Notamacropus eugenii: one gene and its partner. The protein of the gene in region 2 purifies or fractionates together with the protein of the main gene of each other region. This does not show direct contact. Links are inferred from orthologs where the notes say so. Each region holds a gene or a part of one and is shown on either strand. Other genes may lie near its edges.

The links. The genes of interacting proteins can lie anywhere in the genome.
Region 1: the proteins of RYBP (region 2) and TFDP1 purify together in Homo sapiens (affinity purification with mass spectrometry; 3 studies listed by BioGRID and IntAct, counting the BioPlex papers as one, with this or other methods). This does not show direct contact. The link is inferred for Notamacropus eugenii from reciprocal best matches to the Homo sapiens genes YAF2 and TFDP1.

Annotation. Positions count from the first base shown.
Region 1 is NC_092877.1:207,440,657-207,444,398, reverse strand, and holds the start of TFDP1 (transcription factor Dp-1), read left to right. Parts: upstream 1-1,344; 5' UTR 1,345-1,529; intron 1,530-1,545; exon of another isoform or gene 1,546-1,782; intron 1,783-2,126; exon of another isoform or gene 2,127-2,394; intron 2,395-3,742. UniProt on the Homo sapiens protein: Can stimulate E2F-dependent transcription.
Region 2 is NC_092874.1:450,830,206-450,833,947, forward strand, and holds the start of RYBP (RING1 and YY1-binding protein), read left to right. Parts: upstream 1-1,445; 5' UTR 1,446-1,660; coding exon 1,661-1,692; intron 1,693-2,205; coding exon 2,206-2,331; intron 2,332-3,742. UniProt on the Homo sapiens protein: Binds to MYC and inhibits MYC-mediated transactivation. Also binds to MYCN and enhances MYCN-dependent transcriptional activation. Increases calpain 2-mediated proteolysis of YY1 in vitro.

The DNA.
Region 1 (3,742 bases), on a different chromosome or scaffold from region 2:
TTGCTTCTTCCAGCAGAGTAACCTTCCATTTCACTCATATTCCACAATTTGATTGGTCATTCACCCGCTGAAGGGGGGAAGATACTTTGTTTCCAATTTTTTGTTGCCACGAAAACTGCTGCTATGAATATTTTGGGGCGTGTGTGGATTTTTTGTGTCGGTGAGCTCCCTGGGGTTTATGCCTCCAGCAGAATCCCTGGGTTGTCCTGGATGTCGTGTCTGATGGTGGTGAGAAGGCACTTATTCATCCAAGTACTGTGAGTCTGAGTTATTACATCGGAAAAGGTAGATGACAACGAACAACCGCGGGAGGCAGAAGCAGAAGAGACCCCTGTGAATGCAGAGCAGGGAGTGTAGAGGAGGTGCACGGCGCCCCTGGGGAAGGGGTGGAGGAAGATGAAGAAGGAGAAGAGTCACTGGGCTTGGCGGATGAGTGACCTTGACAGGTCAAGGGCATCAGTGACCTTGGAGAGAGGTGGTGGAGAAGGAAGCCAACCGTATTCCTCCTAATAGAGGAAAGGCCTGAACACGGTGGGTCGGTCAGGAAAGGACACAGAAGCTGAACGAAAGGGGGATGGGGGGTCGGGCGCAGTCCAGCCAGGCCAAGCAGCCCCGTCCTGTCAGACAGTGACCACACCCCACGTGGGCCACGCCCGTCCTCGGCGGAGGGGCCCGAGAAGGGCCCGGGGACCCGAGGGAGGGGTCGGGAAGCCGGCCCCAAACGGGCCAATGGTGACACCCCGCCGGTAAGGGGGAGCGCGGGGCAGTCACGAAGCGGGCCCGGGGCCCGGCGCCTCGGGCCTAGAACCCCAAAGTGTTCTGCAAACCTTCGTTACGTCTCACCGCACCTGCCAGGGCCGGGTGCCTTTTCTATCCCGGTTTTATGGGAGGCCAGACCGCGCCGGCCCCCGGCCCCCCGCGGAGCTGAGCACGTGGCCGCAGCTCCGTCGGCCCGGGGCCGGCCCGGCCCGCCGCTCTCCTCGCGCCTCCTTTCAGATGACCTCATTGCGGCTAGTCCGGGCGGCCCCGGGGGATGCGCGGAGCTGTCGGGAATGGAGGCGGCGCGCGGGCCGCAGGCGTGGGAGCGGGCCGCGGGGCGCGCTCTGCGGATGGCGGGGCCGTCGGCCGGGGCGCCCCGCCGAGCCGCAGCCCACCCCGGCTTCTTTTCCTCCTTTTCCCCCAAGCGCACCGCCCGGCCGATCCCCGGCGGGCTCAAGGTTCCCACTTTGACGTTTTGGCGCCGCGCGCTTCCCGCGCTCTCCCAGGCGGAGCCAGACACTCCACCACATGCGAGCACGCACACCGAGCCCTCCGCGGGAGCCCAGCGCGGGGGCGGAGCAGAACTGGCGGGAGCGAGGGAGGGAGCGAGCCAAAGGCGCGAAAAAGCCGCGCAGGCGCGCCCGGCTCCCCGAGGCGGAGCGCGCGGGGGTGAAACTGACACTTTGGGCCCGTCTCTATGGGGCCGCTCGTGGCCGCACGTCACCGCGCTGCCGGCACGTCACGCCGGCTTGACGCTCCCAGTACAAAGTGTAAGTTTCAATTTTTTTGATCCCCCCCTTGGCCGACTCTCCCCATTTTGTGGGGAGGAGTGGGAGCGCAGTCGGGGGGGAGGGGGGTCGGGGGAAGCGAGGCCGGCCTCCGAGCTGCCGGGATCTACTCCCCTCCCCCGTGATCTCTCCCTCCCTGGGTGCGCGGGGGCTGCAGCGGCGGGGCCGCGCTGCCCCGCTCCCCATCTCCGCCCCCCACCCCCCGCGGCGCGGGCGCCGGGACCAGGCGAGCCAGGTGTGGGACGCGGAGCCGGCCTCGCGGGCTGGGGGCGCGTGTGCACGTCAGCGCGGGGCCCGGGGGGGCGGCCTTGCAGCCTGGGTGGGGGCTGGGGTGAAGGATGCAGCCGGGTTTGGAGCCCCATGCGGGAGGATGGGGGGGGGTCCTTGTGGAGCCCGGGAAGGATGGAGCGGGGGCGGGGATGGCGGAGGTCCGCCGGGTACTTGAGTGTGTGTGGAGAGTTAGTGCTGGCCTGGGGTGGGGGGGGCGGTCGGAGCGGAGGCTGGCCGGCAGGGCCAGCCGCGGGGGATGGGGAACCCGTGCGGCCGGTCTGGTCCCCTGGGCGGGCCCCCCTCTGCCCTGCCCCCCGCCTCGCCTCGCCTGTGTGTGGGCGCCGTGCACACGGCTTGGTGTCTCCTCGGGTCTCTTTTCCTGGTGCTGTGTGTTGCACATGTGCAGTGGGTAGACCTTGCCTTCCCCCCCTTTCCCATCCTTCTGCCCCCCACCCCCCCACCCCACGCTGCTGCTCCTGCTCATTGTAGCGGTTGCAGTTGGTGGTGGGCTCTGGGCTCCGCTGCGCTCCCGGCCTGGCTTGGGGGGGCGGCCAGGAGGGGAGGAAGACGCCTTCAGGTGAATTGACCCCCGGCTTGAGATGCGGGGCTCCGGGGAGGAGGGGAAGACGGGAGGGGGCCGGCGTGGACGGAGGCTCTGGGGTGCTCACCCCCTTTCTGCCTTTGCAGATGGGGAAGGGTCCGGGGGATGGGACGGAGAAAGGTGGGGGGGAATGCCCAGCTGGTGGAGGGGTGGTAGGCCTCTCTCCAGCCCCCCATCGCCCCATCAGCATCGCTGCGCCTCCTTTGGGGAGCAGGGTCCCACGGCGGAGGGTCAGGATGGCGCCTGTTGCCAGGGTGGTGCCCGGGTCTGGAGGGGGGGCGGAGGGGGGGAGGCACAGGCCGGTGAGGCCGGCCGGGCGGGCTGGCGGGCGGGCAGGCGGCTGAGCCGCCGCCGCAGCTGCTGCTTGTGTCCGTCCATGGGGCCTGCTCCGGCCAGCTCCCTGCGGGACACCCCGGCAGGGGAGGGGGCTGGGGGCAGCCCCTTCACCAGCCTGGGTGCTGAAATGGCACAGCAGGGTGGAGAGCTCGCTGCGAGTTCCGGTGCTGGGGGTGGGGTGGGGGGAACTCGCCCTCCTCGGGCTGTGGTTCCGAGGCCTAGTGACAGGTCAGGAAGATCTAGATCCCAGATGGACCTGGGGCTTGTGGAGTCGATCCCGGACCGGGGCTCGCCTTGTGGCCTGAGAGCAGTTACTTTAACCCTGGAGCTCCCTTGGAAGCACACCTGTCAGAGTTCTCAGCATGCTCAGGGCTGGGCCAGTGGAGCTGGCGGCTGACTGGAGTGGGGGCAAGGCCTCCCCTTCCACCTTTCAGTATATTTTGGGGGAAGGGGGCTAGCGGGAATCATATATCGTGCATTTTTGTGCTGGCAGTGTAAGGATGGGTTGAGTCTGGATATATAGACATGGGCATAGGTTGGCGTGCGTGTGCGTGGGTGAGGGTTAGAGGGTTTGCTTGTATCCATCATATCTAATCGTGGTGGGGGTGAGGGTCTTAGGTTCGTCATAGTCTTGTTCTGCCTATCAGTATAGATGGTTATATTTGTTACCCTGTGACATTAGTTTGTAGTGGGGTGAGCTAGAGGTATCGTTAGTAGTCTGGGAGCGTAAGAGTTTGTAAATTTCCTTTGTATAAGACACTGACATTTGTCTATAACATGTCGTTAGTCCCATAAATTATTTTTAAAAGAAGTAGCCAAGTTGCTTTTGTAGATTCCTTTCAGGATCGAATACATGTATGCATCGGAAGGGGGAGGAGGTTCCTGATATCCCAGAATGCATTTTGCTTTGCTTTGGAGGGAGAAATGTATCAGTTTAGACTTAAGATACAATATTTTGCCAACCATTATCTTACACTGAATTTATATC
Region 2 (3,742 bases):
AGTCCGGAGGTTGTGCTCAAGGTCACCCAGCTGCACTGGGATTCAAACTCAGGGCCTTGGCCTCCAGATCCTGCGTTCCTTCCATGGCACCCCCATATCAGAGGCAGAACCTGGATCCGAATCTTCCCGACCCCACGGATTCCAGCCAGAAATTTCCCCCTGCCCCTTTACAAAATGATTTGGCTCCAACTGCCCTTAAGGAGAAGCTTTCCCAGAAAACATAAAAGCATCGAAGGGGCGCAGCACAGCACCAGACGGACCCCTGCCCATCGCCCACCCACCAGGATGGTGCAGAAAGTGCCCGGGGAGGGCAGAGCGGGGGATTCCACCAGGCTGAAGTTAGGGGAAGGGAGCGCTGGAGGCCGGCGTGTCTGCCCCGCTCCCCTCCAAACGAGGGCACCCTCGTCCGCCCGGCTGGGCGCAGCCTCGCCTCCCTCCTGCCCGCGGGCGTGCATCCCCTCCGGCCCCGCGGCGGCCGCCGGCCAGGGTGGCCAGCCCGGGCCGCTCCTCCGCCAGGTGCGGGGCCAGGGGCGCACACGCACGGCCCGGCGGGCATGCCCTGCGCTCTGGGGGCAGCGCGGCGTCCACACCCGGGTGGGGGTCCGACCCAGCGTCCCAGGGCCCCCACGCGTGTGCGTGCTCGGACTCGGCGGGGGGTCCCTGACAGCCCACGCCTCAGGAGCCATGCCATGCCGACTCCTTTCTCTCCCTCCCTCCGTCCGTCCTCTCCCCAAGTCTGGCGGAGTCTCGGCTTGCTCCTGCCGGGGCGCTCGAAGCCCCGGCTACGTCCTCTTCCCCACCGCGTCCCCTTGGGCGCCCTGGCTTACACGAGAGTAGGAGGGGGGCCTGGGGTGCACGCGGGGCCGGGAATGCTGAGCTGGGGGGGCGGGGGACACACGCAGACGTCCCCTACACAGATGTACACACAGCTCTGCGTCCGGAGACGCACAGACACGTGCACGGACACATGCACAGACAAACAGACACACACACACACACACACACACACACACACACACACACACACACGGCACCGCAGGAGGGCCAGGCGCCGGTGCAAGCGCACACAACACACACACACACAGCACAGAGGCGGGCTGAACCCTAAGAAACACACACGCACACGCATGCACACACAAGCAAAGGGGCCTGGGCATGCATGCAGACATGCATGCATGCACGCACGCACCCACGAGCCCCCCCCACCACCGCGCACACGTCCGCAGCTCTCTCCCCCCGCCCGCTTCTCCCCCTTCCCTCCGCTCCCCCTCCCCCTCCGTTCGGAGCCTCCCCCTCCCCTCGTCGGAGGAGCCGCGCGCCGCCATTGGTCCGCCGGGCTGGTGACGCGCGGCGCTCGACCCCGCCCCCAGTCAGTCACTCGGCGGAGGCGGCGCTGGCGGGGACTAGTCTCGTCCGGAGACTGGCAGCGGCGGCGGCGGCAGCAGCAGCGGCAGCGGCAGCGGCAGCGGCAGCAGTAGCAGCGGCGGCGGCCGGAGCTCGAGCCCGGGCGGCTTCGGGGGGGGGAGGCGAGGAGGACGGCGGCGGCGAGGACGGCGCAGGCGGCGGTGGCCGCGGCGGAGACGCGGCGGCGGGCGGCGTTTCGTTTCTCCTCAGCGCGGCCCCTGTTGTGCGGAGGGGGGGGCGGGGGGAGAGCCCATCCATGACCATGGGCGACAAGAAGAGCCCGACCAGGTACCTGCTCCCGCCGCTCGGGGCCGGGGCCGGGGGGAGGGGCGGGGGCGCGAGCCGCAGCGGGAGGAGGAGGCGCCCACGACTAGGCCCCGCCGCCGAGCCCGGGCCGTGGCGGCGGCGGCGCGCGCGGTGGGGGGGGCCCGGAGGAGGAGGCGCCGCTAAGATGGACGTCGGCCCGGGGCGGGCGGCGGGAGGCGGTGTCTGCCGGCCTGCCTGCCCGCCCGCCCGCTTGCCTGCGGGGCCGAGCGCCGCCTCCTCCTCGGCCGCAGCCATGGCGGCTCCTCTTCCCCGACCCTCCCAGACAAAGGGAACGGCTTCCCCAGGTGGGGAGGGAGCGAGGCCCGAGGAGGACGCCCGGGAGGGGGTCCCCGCCCTTGTCGGGCCTGGGCCACGCGCCACGAGTGGGCCGGGGAGGAACTTCGGGGGGGGGGCCGCTCCCGTGAATTGGGATTTCTCACCCGCGCGTGTGTTTGTTGTTCTCCCCACCCCTCCCCCTCCCCCCACTCCGCGAAGGCCAAAAAGACAAGCGAAACCTGCGGCCGACGAGGGATTTTGGGATTGTAGCGTGTGCACCTTCAGGAACAGCGCGGAAGCCTTTAAATGCAGCATCTGTGACGTGAGGAAAGGCACCTCCACCAGGTACCCCGCGGCCCCCCGCCCCCGACACACGCACACACACAACGCACACGCACACGCACGCACTTGTTGATCGGTCGTGCCTTTTACCTGTGCCTGACTCATGTTGCTGTCGAGAGCGTGGGGCGCACGCTCGGAGAGTCTGCTTTTTTCGGTTTCCTGTGAACAGAATTTGGACCAATATTGTCATAATTCAGAGTTTCCAATTCTTTTTTTTTTTTATCCCATTTCATAAATTGAGAACCAGCGCAGGGGCCTGAGCCCTTGACTTCACAGACGGAAGCACTTCTTTTCTCCTACACGTCTGTGGGGAGTGAAACGGAATTTTCTTTTTGTCACGGGCGGAACGGTTGGGTGTGTGCCAAGCCCAGGGAGGCTTTACGGGAGGATCCCCGAGCACCCCGCTTGTCGTCCCGTAAAAGCCGCAGCACTTGGAAGGGCTGCGGCCGGAGAGGCAGCTGAATTGGGGCTCTTTAAAGGCTCGGCGTCGGGGCTTGTAAATTGCAACATGGTGAAACTGATCAGGCTGTAAATACTGTCGTGCTGGCTTTGTGCCAGGAGTAGCAGCTCGGAAAGTTCTTGGTGGTGGCATACCCAGTCCTGAACGGTGCCGACCCGGGCTCTGGCGAGCTGGGCTCTCCTAGGTGCAGGTTTTGTGTGTGTGAGAGAAAATTGGGAGAAACTCCTGTGGTTGCTTCGGAGTTTTTTGTTTCCTTCCCTGTTGTCTTTGAACAGAATTTGGTGCAGTGTTATCATAATTTGGAGTTTGAGTTCAAACTGTTGTGGTCCTCATTTGATGCCCAGATGTTTGTGTATATTCTGGGTTGGTACTTGGAGTGGATTGCCAAAAAGTGGGTCGTTTTACCAGGTGTCTGTTTTGTTTGGGTGGTAGTCCAGTGTGACTGTAGTATTTCAAATGCATAGCATTCGGTAACTTGCATGGCTTCATGATTAAAGACTCTTCTTTATGTAGTGCCTGTAATGTTGTGCTTTGATTTTTATACTTGAGGTTAAACATAAGTAGTTGGGCATACTTTTAAGCTTATAACTTAAGACTTAGTTTAGATTTAAGTAGTATACTTGAATAAATAAATCACCTTGAAAAAAGAAAGAAAAGTGGACCACTGAAATTGGTTATTTTAAGAGCTGATTTTCCCTAGTTTTTGGTGGTGTTCATCATAACTTTAGGAATATATTATTCTAGATTGAATTTGCTTTGAGGCGGAGGAATATTTTTTTTCAGTTTCTTAAATGTAGATTTCTGTCAAATGCCATTAAATTTTGTACGTTATTATTATAAGCAATAGCATGTGGATTATTTCTTTACATGTAAAAACCTTTATTGTGGTTTTACTTTGAGGGTTACTGTAAATGATGGGTGTAGTACAACGCAATGACTGGGAAACTCTTGAAC